Linked DNA regions of Saccharomyces cerevisiae S288C. The main gene of each other region encodes a partner of the protein of the gene in region 2 in a complex. Each region holds a gene or a part of one and is shown on either strand. Other genes may lie near its edges. The genes, in order: YPT6, RIC1 and RGP1. A codon is read from its position in the direction of its gene.

Region 1 (3,165 bases), 440 kb from region 2:
TCTTTCCGGCAGCGCTTCCTTCAGATGGTACAATGGATATGGTTATCACCGATGCAAGAACCTCGTTGACGAGGATGGCACCAATCCTGCTGGGACTAGATAAGGGTTCCCATGTTTTACAACCGGAAGTCTTACACTCTAAAATTTTGGCATACAAGATAATACCAAAGCTAGGGAACGGCTTGTTCTCTGTCGATGGCGAGAAATTTCCTCTAGAGCCCCTTCAAGTCGAAATTATGCCACGCTTATGCAAGACGTTACTGAGAAATGGCCGTTATGTGGACACAGATTTCGATTCTATGTGACACTTTACTTAATCTTTTCCTTCGTACTGAACAATTAATCAAAAACTAGAATATGTCATTTCTATTTCTTCTATATTTTTTTTACGTTGTTGTTGTTTTTGTTGTTGTTTGATAACTTTATACACTCCATACTTCTTTATAAAAAGTTTTAATACCATTCTTTAATACAACCATGTTTAGTGAGTACTAGCTCCTACACATCAGATCGTCAAGTACATTATGATTATGATTATTATTAATATTATCAGTACAATTATTATGTGCTGGTAGTTCACTAAAAAATATGACGCACACAAAGAGTTCTCCTTATGCCCTATAGAACTGAAATATTAGGTGCTAACACTGACAAGCGCTTTGTTCCTGCTCCTCTGCTGTAGAAATATCAATGACTCCCGGTTTATTTTGGTTTGCACTATTTGCATTTTCGCTATCCAAAGGAGTTGACTCGCTGTTTTGAAATTCAGGCAGCGATTTGGCAATCTTTTTGAATAAAGCTTTGACATTATAGCCTGCCTTTGTGGACGTTTCCATAAAGATTTTAGCACCCAATAGTTTTGCTTTTTTCTCTCCCTCTTCGGTTGAGATTTGCCTTTCATCTGATAAATCACTTTTGTTACCAACAATGCACAATATAACATTTTCGTCACCTCTTTCATTTTTAACGTCTTCTATCCATTTATCAATATATTCAAATGATTTTCTCTTCGTAATGTCGTAAACGATAATAGCAACTCTCGAATCTCTGATATATGAAGGTATTAATGATCTAAATCTTTCCTGACCTGCTGTATCCCATAACTGTAATCTAATTGTCTTATCATCCAAATACATGGTCTTGGAAAGAAAATCTATACCAATCGTGGCTTGGTAATGATCATCGAACGTATCATACATAAATCTAGTGATCAGCGATGTTTTTCCAACACCCTGTTCTCCCAAAAAAACAATTTTGTACTTTGTCAATGATTTCCCGGATCTGCTCATTGTTAATCTCTTCTTTGTTTATCTTTTACTGTTCAGAATCAACAGCTTCAAACACTTCTTTTCACACAACCTTAAGTGCCCAATTGTGATATTCTTACATCATACATAGTAACAATCTATATATGGGCAATATTTTCCTCCACTAATTGAGCTGTGCTGAAGGCTTTATTACCCGGAAATTATTCGGCCATTTTTCACTAGAAGTTAATACCAGCACTAACGAATAGAAGCACCCTATTCTACTCAAGATGCCCGGTTCATGAATAGGGAGAAGTATTTTTCTTATTTTCCTTAGCCATCTATAAATATTTATCCTTATGCCTGTCACCACAATAGAAAAGGGTCCATTATATATCAGTTGTTTTCGTACCTCTAGAGAGACACGCAAGGGGCTTTATTTAGGAAACCTCCAAATTTGCTAGATGTAACCATTATACATAGTAATTACGATTGTAAAACATCGGAAAGAACGATATATCTTGCAAATAGCTTTTCTTTGGTAATATATGTATTTACTTAAAAAACGAGAACTAGAAAATACTGAGTAAATTTTTATTAGACGTTGTTAAAGGCCTTTTATTTCTTACCAGATTTTTTGATACCACCACCCACTAAAGGTTTACCACTTTTCATATTAGCCATCAAAGCTTTCTTAGCAGCAGCATCGGCCTTTTGCTTCTCTTTGAAGGCAATGTCTTCAGGATCTAAGTCCTGTTGTTGCTTCTTCTTTTGCTTTAGAGGCTTCATCTTACCACCTTGGCGACTAGACATGATTGCTTAGGGTTTTTCAGTTATTCTTCTGGTTTTGCAACTTACTGTGCGTGGAAGAGCAATCAATTACAGGATTTTAAACATGAAATTTTTTATTTTCCTCGTTCATTTTCGTCGCGGGAAACTTCCAGAAGTATAGATTTACTACAATTTTTATCTCAGGACAGAAAGAATAAACCAAAAAAGCCAAGACAAGCCAAGCCAAGCCGAGGCGACTGGAGGAGCTTTTCATCACATTCAATGACAAATCACAACAGGTTTCCCTGTTAGAAAAGGCATGTGCACTCACAATTCATATTTTCATACAGAAGATATACATTGGATTTCTGGAGATATCAGGTAAGGTTCGACAAAAACAATGGCGTTTGCCAACCCTTTATGATGGGTGATCTTGTATCCGCTTAATTGTGTGATCTAAAAAGGCAAAGTAACGTATTATTGGCTGGTTTATATAATTTGAATATGACTACTTTTTCAACGTTAAAAACGATAAATACTTGCTCAAAGGGTTCAGCGGCTAAATAAACTACGATTTCGCAGCAGGATCAGATGGATTCAATCACATCATTCGCAAAACATTCACATCATTCGTGAAGCATTAAAGGTAATAAGAAAAATAGAACAAAGATTTTTTAATCAGTGAGGACCACAAAGGGACAGCAAATACGGTGATAAGAATGGAAGGTTTGAAGAAAAAGATTTTTGGTGTTTGCCTGAAAAATGACTTAGCACAGACTAGGAATGAAACGAAAGGAATCCACTATGGGTTAATGACTTTGGAAACTTCTAAACAACTGCAGGAATTTCTCCATTTGCTAGTAATAAAGAGAGAAGTAATTCAAAATTTTGAGTTGTTATTTCACATCATAAATGTTGCCGTTAAAATCACCGATTCAAATCTTCCAAGTGATGATATCTGGCATTTCATTTTAAAATTAAGATTTTCTTCTGAGATTAATATAGACGAAGACTCCAAAGTTTTAAATTATTTACTTGAGACTGGCATCGCAATGGAAAATCCAGTCAGTTGGAAATGCTTGGCCGTTATTAGCAGCATCCTCAGCAGTGTCCCTCAATCCAAAAAGATTATAACTAACCTGATCGA
Region 2 (5,781 bases):
AACACTATAAACAAACCGTCAACAAACATTTTGTATAAATATTTAGCTATATATTGAATATCTTGACCAGTAAAGCACCTTGAGAAATTGTAAGCTTGAAGAACGTACTTTGATATCCCTCCGTTTCATCATCCTATAGCTCGTCAACAAATCAAAAAAAATATGAAGATCAGTCAATTTGGCTCTTTAGCTTTCGCCCCAATTGTGCTACTACAACTGTTCATTGTTCAAGCGCAACTTCTCACAGATTCAAATGCTCAGGATTTGAATACTGCCCTTGGACAGAAAGTGCAATACACCTTTCTTGACACTGGAAATTCTAACGATCAACTACTTCATCTTCCAAGCACCACCTCTTCCAGCATTATTACTGGTTCATTAGCTGCTGCTAATTTCACCGGTTCTTCATCATCGTCGTCTATACCAAAAGTCACTTCCAGCGTCATAACATCTATAAATTACCAATCCTCAAATTCTACGGTAGTCACCCAGTTCACGCCATTGCCTTCTTCGTCGAGAAATGAAACAAAAAGCTCTCAAACAACTAATACTATAAGTTCAAGTACAAGCACAGGAGGTGTAGGTTCAGTCAAGCCATGTCTTTACTTCGTTTTAATGTTAGAAACAATCGCTTATTTGTTTTCTTAAACAAATATATTAGGTTCAAGGTCTTCGCAGGTGTAAGAAAACCCGTGGTCTCCATATTCTTAAGTATGATAAATAAAAAAAAACTTAATAAATTATTAATTGCTTCAAACCTTTTTCTTTTTTTAGTTTTTAATATTTCAAACGTTATCTTCATTGAACGCCCAAATAGGGAAAAATCCTGGCAAATTTTTTATTGCTGTCATCCAAGGCTATGCTAGAAAATTCAAGAGCTTGGATGATTTAAAAAGACACTCTCAATCGAGAAAGTTTATTCTTTGTTATTCTGCTTTACCTGATCATATTCCGGCGTATTGTTTCTAATCAAGTGATTTCGATATCCAGTTACGAACCATTTACAACATTCCTGAAAATATTGCGTATCAATGATATTTGCTCCTTCTTTCTCCCTCATTAAAAATATTCTCCTGGTAAGCTTTCTAATCAGCCACAGTTTTGCTGCCAAAACTTTAACGTCTAGTTCCAATGACGATACACTTGCCAGGTCCGCAGCTGCAGATGCAGACATGGCATTCTTCATGGAGTTTTTAAACGATTTCGACACCGCTTTTCCACAGTATACCTCATACATGATGCAAAACCATTTAACCCTACCTCAACCTGTTGCTGACTACTACTATCACATGGTTGATTTGGCCTCAACAGCAGATTTACAATCTGATATTGCTCAGAGTTTTCCGTTCACTCAATTCCAAACATTCATTACGGCCTTTCCATGGTATACCTCTTTGCTAAACAAAGCCTCCGCCACCACCATATACCTTCCCCAACACTTCATAACAGGTGAGACAGAAGCTACCATGACTAACTCATCTTATGCCAGCCAAAAAAACTCCGTTTCCAATTCTGTTCCTTTCTCGACAGCGAACGCAGGCCAGTCCATGATTTCCATGGCTAATGAAGAAAACAGTACAACAGCACTTATATCCGCATCAAACTCTTCTTCAACATCCAGAACTAGTCAATCACAGAATGGTGCCCATGCCAAAAGCTTATATTTCCCCATGGCGTTGTTCGGAATCTTTGCAGTTGCCCTTTAAGTGCCTCAACCAAATTTGACAATTTAATTCCATGGGAGGTCCGCCATCCCTTTTCGCTTTTTTTATAATATGTGTATTATTTATACAAATATGTATATAAGTATGTACTTTTTCAATGGACAATTCGATTTTAAGAGCGTTTTTAGTGACAACGATGAACATCAACTTTGTACAGTATCAAACGATTTATTTTTAACATATTATTATAACTTCTGAATGGCGTTGCCATCTTGGCCAAAATCTTGTCTTTTCTGTCGTTTTATGGCAGGCTTTTGTTCTTTGATGTTAATTCGGCAATACCGACGCCTTTGATGTTCATCAAACAGTCTGAAAAAAATACACCTAAATGCCTCTACAAAAAAAAAGGTAAGGTAAGAGTGTTATTGACCGGAAGCTGTAAGAAACTGAACACGTGGAAAATGCACTTATGGCCAGTCAGTCCGCCCCAATTGCTTAGAATTCCACCCCGCAACGCCGAATTAGGTGAGGGTACTAAAATAGATGATTGCAATATTCTTCAATCAATGACACTACCCCAGGCCAATGTTCTTATCATGCTAACCCCAACAAGAGTGCTCATTTACAACTTCAAACCAATGGCACTAGTAGCTAGCCATGAACGAACAATGGCTTCTCTTAAGGAATTTGGCGATAACAGATCAATGAAACGATCAGCTCCATATAATGATATCATCGAAGGGCTTATTTCAAAAAAGGACTCGCAATACTTATTGTGGCACCAGGGAAAGCTGATATTTTACGTAATGACTGATAAAAACTTCCTTTTAACATACCAAATTTTAAAAAACTGCACAAATGAAATAATTTTCAAAGAATACGGCATACCCGTCATAGAGCCTCTTTTAATGAGTGAAGAAGAAGCGAACAGTGCTGAATATGACTATAACAACGATGATGATACTCTCACGGTATTTGATAAAAATAGTTCTTCAAGAATTATACAGAATGGATTTGGCATAACTAAGGAAAAAGGGTTTTTACACTTTCTTTCTAATCAAGAAAACATTGATGAACTCCCCGTGAAAAAACTAGAACTTCGTTTAAAAGTAGTTCTTAAATTTGACTATGAAATCATAGACATGATTGGCATCAAGACATTTTCCAAAGTCGGGGATGGGCGTTATGAAGAAGTTTTGATAGTTTTATTCCCTCATGGATTACAAATACTTACAATATCGGATTTTAAAGTTAGCAAGAGCTCGTTGGTTGAAGTGAAGAAGGGATCCAAGACAATTGTGTGTAATAAACAATTAATGGTTTTATCTCATGATTCCGTCGAAAAGCAGACTATTGTAAGCATTATAGACATTGAAAAGCAAGCTGTTGAAGCAATACCGTTAACGGACACACCAGATGAACTTTTGACTTGCCTAGAAGTTAATGGATACCTGGTGGTCGTTTACAAAGAAAAAATAATCTGCTTTGATACAAGAATTAAAAAAGTAAGCCATTCTTGGAAACCACCATTTGTGATAAAACTTTGCGATAAAATTAATGATAAAATATTACTTTTGGTTTCTGAGGATAGTGTTAACATTCATTTTTACACAGAATTTGGGAATCTGCTATTCGCTACATATTTTGACGAAGATGATTATAATGGTGATAACAATAATGACAACAGCAAGGATAAAAATGAGAAAAAGGCGGCTGAATATAAAATTTCTGATTTTGTATGCTTGGATAAATCACTAATAACAGTGTCTCATTCCGGAAAATATCAAGTTTGGAAATTATGGGAAGAAATAAAACAAACACAATTTGATTTCAGAAACCCAAAATGTTACGTATTAACCAATACGAACAATGATGTAATCATATATTCACCTGTGACAAGTTCTTCAATCAATAATGATAATTTACAAGTCATAAAACTTCCTACAAAGACTTTCAATAATCATATTGCTTTTGTAAAAATTAATTCTTCCTTGAGGTTATTTGCTACTTATGTGTCGAACAAAAACATACTGCTTATCCACAATCTAGAGACCAATATGTGGTCTAGTTTTGCTGACCAAAACGTGTTGGATTTACATTGGCTAGGTGATAATTATTTGGTTTGTCATATGAAGAATGATGATGGCTCAACAAATCTGAAATGTCTGCAGATTCCACTGCAAGAAGCGAATCCGGACGTGGAACTATCAGATTATGTCATGTGGGAATACAATGTTCCAGAGAATACGATTGTTTTCAGTTTACATGTTAATACTTTATCCCGGTATAAGTTGTTGAAAATGAAATCCAAGAATCACAATGCTTCTGAAAAACAACCTGATGCATTGCTTAAAACTGCCGAGATTATTTTAGTTACTGATACACAGACAATTGTCTTCGATGTAATTTCTACTGTACATCCATGTGGATTAAACATCATCAAAAAATTCTACCAGTATCTCAAAATTAACATTCCAATTGATGTTTTACCCAACAAAATTGAGTGGATAATTAACATGAAGGAGGGCTTGTTATTTTTTGCCGATAGGAAATTTATAAAGCTTGGCAAAGTGGATGGAGGGGGCTGGCAAACCTTAACTTTGTTGGATAACATAGAAAAAATAATCGATGTTATCAGGGACGAAATATTTGTAGTTCAAGGCCATAATTACGTCGTATACTCTTTGGAAGATTTATGGGATGATAAAAAGCCACTAGTTTCCATTCCAATCGAAGAAGATTTGTATCCAATATCAACCACCCCAGAAACAGCTACAACACATACACTTCACTGCATTTTTAACGCGCGATTTTCCAAATTGGTGGTGAAACACCAAATATACCTCGACCAATTAATCTTAGCCAAATTAGAAGACAACACAGATTTGGAGGATATTTCACACAATTATCGTTTTTTAAAGCCTTACAAATTTGCACTCGAAAAGATTTTGTCTACTAAAATACTGCGAAGCGACTCTTTGGATGATATCCTGAAATTAATTAAGATGTATGACAACACCGATCCTGAGCATAATATTTCACCACCAACCCACAGTGGTATGTTAGAAATTATTAGTAATTGTTTAAGGAAGATCGAAACTAAATACTGGAACCATCTATTCACTAATCTAAAGATGACACCAAGAGATTTATTAGCACTCTGTATCGAAGAAAATGAGGCTAAAATGCTTGGCGTACTTCTGTTAGTGTTTTTAAATTACGATGAGAAAGATTTGGGAGATGATCTACATTTTAAGAAATCAGATTTAGGGACTGAGGAAAGCAAAGCTCTAAATGATAACTCTACAAAAAAGTCAGAGAAATCTGTCACTAATTTATTGAAGGATGAAGAATTAATGCTTAAAGTCTTAGAGCTTTTGGTGACAAGTGCTGCAAACGCCACAGACCCAATTAAAGCTACCGATTCGTGGGACATGTGTTTCCAATTAATACGCTTACTCAAGGAATTAGACAGAGAAAACAACACACAATTGGTTCAAAAAGCACTCGAGAGATTCAAATAAATCTATATGACACCATGTATTCTTTACCATATAGCTTCATAACATTGACCAATCAATTTTCAGAAATGCGTCGCGCGTAGTTTTGCCCGATATCCCCATCCCTTCAGGATCTTTAAAAGGTGATGAAAGATGCACCAGATAGAAAAGTTGCATTAAAATGATTAGCAGAGATATACAAATATTTTAGTAAGAATACATAAAGTATCTTTGCTTTCACAAATAGGAACAAGCACATAAATACAGTATAATAGACATGGCTGATCAAGAAAACTCTCCACTACATACAGTTGGTTTCGATGCTAGATTTCCCCAACAAAACCAAACAAAGCATTGTTGGCAATCTTATGTGGATTATCACAAGTGTGTTAATATGAAGGGCGAAGATTTTGCTCCGTGCAAGGTCTTTTGGAAGACCTATAACGCCTTATGTCCCCTAGACTGGATCGAAAAATGGGATGATCAAAGAGAAAAAGGTATTTTCGCAGGTGATATCAACTCAGACTAAGGATCTTAGTTTCGTTTTTAGTAATGTGCACTTAGCCTTTTTTATATCATTATTATTAATTACTAGAATTCATTTTTGCGTAGTAGAC
Region 3 (4,616 bases), on a different chromosome or scaffold from region 2:
CTCTATCATGAATTGCCGAAATATTTTTTTCGAGCGGTTCCCATTCAAAATTGAGAACACTTGCATGCAACATTGAAGATGGAAGTGGTTCATGTCGAATGGAGTCAAACGAAACTGGGAGTGCTTTAAAAGTTTTCTGGAGAAAACCTATTGAGTTTTGGATCAATTCCTCGGTATTAGACATTATTACTCCTTTGCCCAAGTTTTAATGCCTCTTGAATTGTTAAAATCATCTATTAATTTACTGATCAAGCTATGGCAAAAACCTGATCATTCTAACGAAAAATGTCATTAGAGAAGCAATATGCATCGTGCGAAATGAGCAGTCTTGAAATCGCACGGACAGCAACCCATGACATCAAGAGATGACTATTACGACAATAAAGCCGGTTAACTAACTTATAAATGTATCTGTACATACCCTTTATGAAGAGAGTATAGTAAATCCTCTTTACTGGATTGGATTCAAATGCAAAACCAATTATACGAGTAAACTGCACCCATTTATTGCTTACCATCCCATGAAATCTTCGGATGTACACAGTATTGGAATGGGAACGTAACATGTAAACTCTTCACCTTCTAAATTCTCTTTTGAATGGAATAGGATGCCCTTTTTATCCTCATAAAATTGATCCAAAGTGATACTTTCTGTCTTTGCAATTATTACAAATTTTAGTCCTATCATCCACTTATGTTGAAAAACATCTGTCTTGAATTGTCCGGTAATCTGGTTTGTAGGCGATCTTGGAGGAAGTAATTTCACCGATACGGACTTGCACTCATCGAAACAAATAAAATGTTTCTCATACACCGAGTTTCCTTTTGGTTTGCTCCCTATTCCTTTTCCTTCAGTCTTATATTTTGGATTTATAATTTCAAACGATTCTAAGGATACAGTCAACGAAGTCACTTTAAGTAAAGGCGTCGTTATCGGATCTAATTCAATGACTAAATTTATATCATCAGTTGTCTTATAAAAAGGTGCTGATAAGGATACTTTTGCCATAGTCTCATTATTTCTGTTAATTTGATATGCGTTCTGTAAATTAATTAGCTGAGGTAGAAGATTAGAATTCTCATCTGACTTAACGAGAGAACAATCGTTCCACATCTTTTGCTCGAGGTTAGAAATGTTATCGCGTACCGAATAACTTTTTCTCCTCTTAGTTACAGCATCGCTTCTCAGGCTAGACTCTGCAGACGTCACCATTTCGTTCGAAAAGTGTGAGTCGTTGGGTTCAGGATCCGAAGAATCCTCATCCTTTCCGAACTGTACCCCCATTTGCAAGTCAATAAGTTCGTCTATATCTCTTGACACATTTTGGTTAGATTCCACCAGTTCAATGAAGTTTTTTTTGACACGCTTGACAAATTCATTATCTTCTAATGGAGAATCAATGTCAATTATAGAAGATTTTCTCCTACCAAATGATACAGCAGAAGCCGTAGAAACTTTTCGAGTAAACAAACGTGGCTTTAGTTCCTTTATGTTACCTGTCTTTAATATGATAGCAGGCTTATCCAGACGTGATGTGTACTGTTCGGCATTCGAACTAATATATGGTGCTATTGTTATTGGGACTCTATTTGAAAATTTCTCGATATTATCATCAGAAAGTACATCCGCACCAACCTCCAGCGTGTAATTTATTGATGCCACTTTTGACGATGAATAACTTGGGCATATATCTTTTGGCAGCTTTGTGGATTTAAAATAGAATGTTCTTACTTCACCTGGTTCTAAAGAAATTTCAGAAAATAAAAGCGTCTGTGGTATTAAAAGAAGAGGTAATGTTTTTATACTGGTATCGTTTGATATCATTAAGGTCCGTTCGTTATAGGTACCTGTTCTTCCCCTAGAACCGCTTTCTGAGAAAAGAAGACCATTGGTCACATTTGTATAATCTGAGTTGAGGTAGTTGGTTAAATTTCTTTTACCTTTGAAATGTTCTCCATCTTCCAATGCAAGAACAGAATTTGTCGTATGTCCAGGTACAATATCTAGTCCTACCATTTTTACTTCATCTTGTTTAAATTTTGACTCTGAAATTACCTCTGAATCGTATTGAAAGACCCCCGATATTTGAACATAACCGGATATTAACGTTACAGGTTGATGAAAATACATTTGCTTCTGTATTTTTTCTCTTAACATCTTACTCTCATTTAGCATTTTCATGTTATCCACATCCACACTCTCTTCAGGTTCGCCTGTTCTTTTGAAGGCACCTAGTAATGATTTTAGGGACCAGGTTTGATTTTCCATCGTGCCTTCACCATCATCTTGCACTTTCGCTTGTTGTTCCAACTTCTCTTCAACAGCTTTATCGACAGTGAGAAGCTTTTCTTTATAGTTGAACAATTCATGCTGTGAGCCTAGGTGCTTAAATCGGAAAGCAATTGATATATGTTCTCCACCAAAATAGGAATTCGATTCATGTATGATCTCCAGTTTGATGTTTTCTCTTATGAGAAATGTATCGATTCTGTGCGCACGCATATCTTCTTCTAAAGTATGAAAAATATCACAATCAAAATCAACAGCTCAAGAAATTATGGGCTAGCTTTCGCTGTTTGTTTCGACTGGCAGCCTTTGCATTGCCCCGTAGGTATCAAAGCTTCTTTGAAGCTGAATTGATCTTGAAAAATAGCACTTTGGAGACGCGCCTTACGCTTTATAGGAGACTTCGGAGTAGACTTCGATTAAAAAATAAAAATTACACAAGAAGTTCAAGTATTATGTTTAATATTCAAACAACGTTTCCACCTCATGGAGAAATGAAGACTTTTATCGTTCTCCGTGAGGTGGATTTACTGTTATTGTCGTTAGAGTTCATGAATGTTTCTCTTGCGCGAGCAGATCTACTGGTCAGGAATCTACATTACTTTGCAATCCATAGTACGCTTGTTATGCTGCATCAATACGAATATATATATCTAATGCTAACATCTGGTTTCTGTAGATATCTTGGCGTGTGTTTCTTTATGATAATACAAAAATATGTAACTCCTGGTGTGATGCTTGGGCGGTGGAAGGTTACGGCTTAGTAATTACGAAATTGATGAAAAAAGTTAGCAGCTGCTATAAAAGGTGCGATAACCTCTTGTGATCATCTGCTATGTGGAAGCTGGTTTACAACCTACAATTTTTCAATTAACAGTTTGAGAATAAATTAGGGGTATCGTACTACCGTAAAGAACAAGAAAATGGCTGGTAATCTTGTTTCATGGGCCTGCAAGCTCTGTAGATCTCCTGAAGGGTTTGGACCTATATCCTTTTACGGTGACTTTACTCAATGCTTCATCGACGGTGTGATCCTAAATCTATCAGCAATTTTCATGATAACCTTCGGTATCAGAGATTTAGTTAACCTTTGCAAGAAAAAACACTCTGGCATCAAATATAGGCGGAATTGGATTATTGTCTCTAGGATGGCACTAGTTCTGTTGGAGATAGCGTTTGTTTCACTTGCGTCTTTAAATATTTCTAAAGAAGAAGCGGAAAACTTTACCATTGTAAGTCAATATGCTTCTACAATGTTATCTTTATTTGTTGCTTTAGCCTTACACTGGATAGAATACGATAGATCAGTTGTAGCCAATACGGTACTTTTATTCTATTGGCTTTTTGAAACATTCGGTAATTTTGCTAAACTAATAAATATTCTAATTAGACACACCTACGAAGGCATTTGGTATTCCGGACAAACGGGTTTCATACTAACGTTATTCCAAGTAATAACATGTGCCAGTATCCTGTTACTTGAAGCTCTTCCAAAGAAGCCGCTAATGCCACATCAACACATACATCAAACTTTAACAAGAAGAAAACCAAATCCATACGATAGCGCAAACATATTTTCCAGGATTACCTTCTCTTGGATGTCAGGTTTGATGAAAACTGGCTATGAAAAATACTTAGTGGAAGCAGATTTATATAAATTACCGAGGAACTTTAGTAGTGAAGAACTCTCTCAAAAATTGGAGAAAAACTGGGAAAATGAGTTGAAGCAAAAATCAAATCCTTCATTATCATGGGCTATATGCAGAACTTTTGGATCTAAAATGCTTTTAGCCGCATTCTTTAAAGCAATTCATGATGTTCTAGCATTTACTCAACCACAACTACTAAGGATTTTAATCAAGTTCGTCACAGACTATAACAGTGAGAGACAGGATGACCATTCTTCTCTTCAAGGGTTTGAAAATAACCACCCACAAAAATTACCCATTGTAAGAGGGTTTTTGATTGCGTTTGCTATGTTTCTGGTGGGCTTTACTCAGACATCTGTCCTGCATCAATATTTCCTGAATGTCTTCAACACAGGCATGTATATTAAGAGCGCCCTAACGGCTTTAATATATCAAAAATCCTTAGTGCTATCTAATGAGGCTTCTGGACTTTCCTCTACCGGTGACATTGTCAATCTCATGAGTGTGGATGTTCAAAAATTACAAGATTTAACACAATGGCTAAATTTAATATGGTCAGGGCCTTTTCAAATCATTATTTGCTTATATTCTCTGTATAAGTTGTTGGGAAATTCCATGTGGGTTGGCGTGATTATACTAGTTATTATGATGCCATTGAACTCATTTTTGATGAGGATACA

Evidence for each region.
Region 1: the proteins of RIC1 (region 2) and YPT6 are in contact, whole or in part, in a cryo-EM structure (PDB 9AYR), measured with the Saccharomyces cerevisiae proteins. Residues at the interface, in NP_013140.1 of Saccharomyces cerevisiae: Asn520 (codon at 3,575), Glu795 (codon at 4,400), Leu797 (codon at 4,406), Ile815 (codon at 4,460), Lys822 (codon at 4,481), Val824 (codon at 4,487), Val825 (codon at 4,490), Lys826 (codon at 4,493), His827 (codon at 4,496), Gln828 (codon at 4,499), Ile829 (codon at 4,502), Asp832 (codon at 4,511), Lys856 (codon at 4,583), Pro857 (codon at 4,586), Phe860 (codon at 4,595), Ala861 (codon at 4,598), Glu863 (codon at 4,604), Lys864 (codon at 4,607), Ser867 (codon at 4,616), Leu871 (codon at 4,628), Asn909 (codon at 4,742), Cys910 (codon at 4,745), Arg912 (codon at 4,751), Lys913 (codon at 4,754), Ile914 (codon at 4,757), Glu915 (codon at 4,760), Gly947 (codon at 4,856), Val948 (codon at 4,859), Leu951 (codon at 4,868), Leu954 (codon at 4,877); in NP_013363.1 of Saccharomyces cerevisiae: Lys23 (codon at 1,223), Thr24 (codon at 1,220), Ser25 (codon at 1,217), Thr28 (codon at 1,208), Met31 (codon at 1,199), Tyr32 (codon at 1,196), Asp33 (codon at 1,193), Thr34 (codon at 1,190), Phe35 (codon at 1,187), Asp36 (codon at 1,184), Asp37 (codon at 1,181), Tyr39 (codon at 1,175), Ile43 (codon at 1,163), Gly44 (codon at 1,160), Ile45 (codon at 1,157), Asp46 (codon at 1,154), Phe47 (codon at 1,151), Leu48 (codon at 1,148), Tyr53 (codon at 1,133), Asp55 (codon at 1,127), Asp56 (codon at 1,124), Glu70 (codon at 1,082), Arg71 (codon at 1,079), Phe72 (codon at 1,076), Arg73 (codon at 1,073), Leu75 (codon at 1,067), Lys163 (codon at 803).
Region 3: the proteins of RIC1 (region 2) and RGP1 are in contact, whole or in part, in a cryo-EM structure (PDB 9AYR), measured with the Saccharomyces cerevisiae proteins. Residues at the interface, in NP_013140.1 of Saccharomyces cerevisiae: Val42 (codon at 2,141), Ser43 (codon at 2,144), Pro44 (codon at 2,147), Pro45 (codon at 2,150), Gln46 (codon at 2,153), Leu47 (codon at 2,156), Leu48 (codon at 2,159), Arg49 (codon at 2,162), Ile50 (codon at 2,165), Pro51 (codon at 2,168), Arg53 (codon at 2,174), Asn54 (codon at 2,177), Ala55 (codon at 2,180), Tyr91 (codon at 2,288), Met96 (codon at 2,303), Ala97 (codon at 2,306), Leu98 (codon at 2,309), Val99 (codon at 2,312), Ala100 (codon at 2,315), Ser101 (codon at 2,318), His102 (codon at 2,321), Glu103 (codon at 2,324), Arg104 (codon at 2,327), Thr105 (codon at 2,330), Ser108 (codon at 2,339), Phe112 (codon at 2,351), Thr204 (codon at 2,627), Leu205 (codon at 2,630), Thr206 (codon at 2,633), Val207 (codon at 2,636); in NP_010421.1 of Saccharomyces cerevisiae: Met1 (codon at 2,503), Arg2 (codon at 2,500), Ala3 (codon at 2,497), Arg5 (codon at 2,491), Ile6 (codon at 2,488), Asp7 (codon at 2,485), Lys16 (codon at 2,458), Leu41 (codon at 2,383), Phe127 (codon at 2,125), Ser505 (codon at 991), Asn516 (codon at 958), Val518 (codon at 952), Thr532 (codon at 910), Ser533 (codon at 907), Ser563 (codon at 817), Tyr565 (codon at 811), Glu566 (codon at 808), Lys567 (codon at 805), His568 (codon at 802), Phe569 (codon at 799), Ile570 (codon at 796), Cys571 (codon at 793), Phe572 (codon at 790), Asp573 (codon at 787), Glu574 (codon at 784), Cys575 (codon at 781), Lys576 (codon at 778), Ser577 (codon at 775), Val578 (codon at 772), Ser579 (codon at 769).

The regions. Positions count from the first base shown.
Region 1 is NC_001144.5:667,603-670,767, forward strand, and holds YPT6 (Rab family GTPase YPT6), read right to left. Parts: upstream 1,290-3,165; coding exon 642-1,289; downstream 1-641. Other genes in the region: sphinganine kinase LCB5, read left to right, coding at 1-305; VPS63 (Vps63p), read right to left, coding at 635-961; TMA7 (Tma7p), read right to left, coding at 1,866-2,060; RED1 (Red1p), read left to right, coding at 2,738-3,165. UniProt on the Saccharomyces cerevisiae protein: Protein transport. Might participate in post-Golgi transport.
Region 2 is NC_001144.5:224,833-230,613, reverse strand, and holds RIC1 (Ric1p), read left to right. Parts: upstream 1-2,017; coding exon 2,018-5,188; downstream 5,189-5,781. Other genes in the region: NFG1 (Nfg1p), read left to right, coding at 163-648; AFB1 (Afb1p), read left to right, coding at 1,032-1,706; COX12 (cytochrome c oxidase subunit VIb), read left to right, coding at 5,442-5,693.
Region 3 is NC_001136.10:726,146-730,761, reverse strand, and holds RGP1 (Rgp1p), read right to left. Parts: upstream 2,504-4,616; coding exon 512-2,503; downstream 1-511. Other genes in the region: HPR1 (Hpr1p), read right to left, coding at 1-184; ATP-binding cassette glutathione S-conjugate transporter YCF1, read left to right, coding at 3,211-4,616. UniProt on the Saccharomyces cerevisiae protein: The RIC1-RGP1 complex acts as a guanine nucleotide exchange factor (GEF), which activates YPT6 by exchanging bound GDP for free GTP. It is thereby required for efficient fusion of endosome-derived vesicles with the Golgi.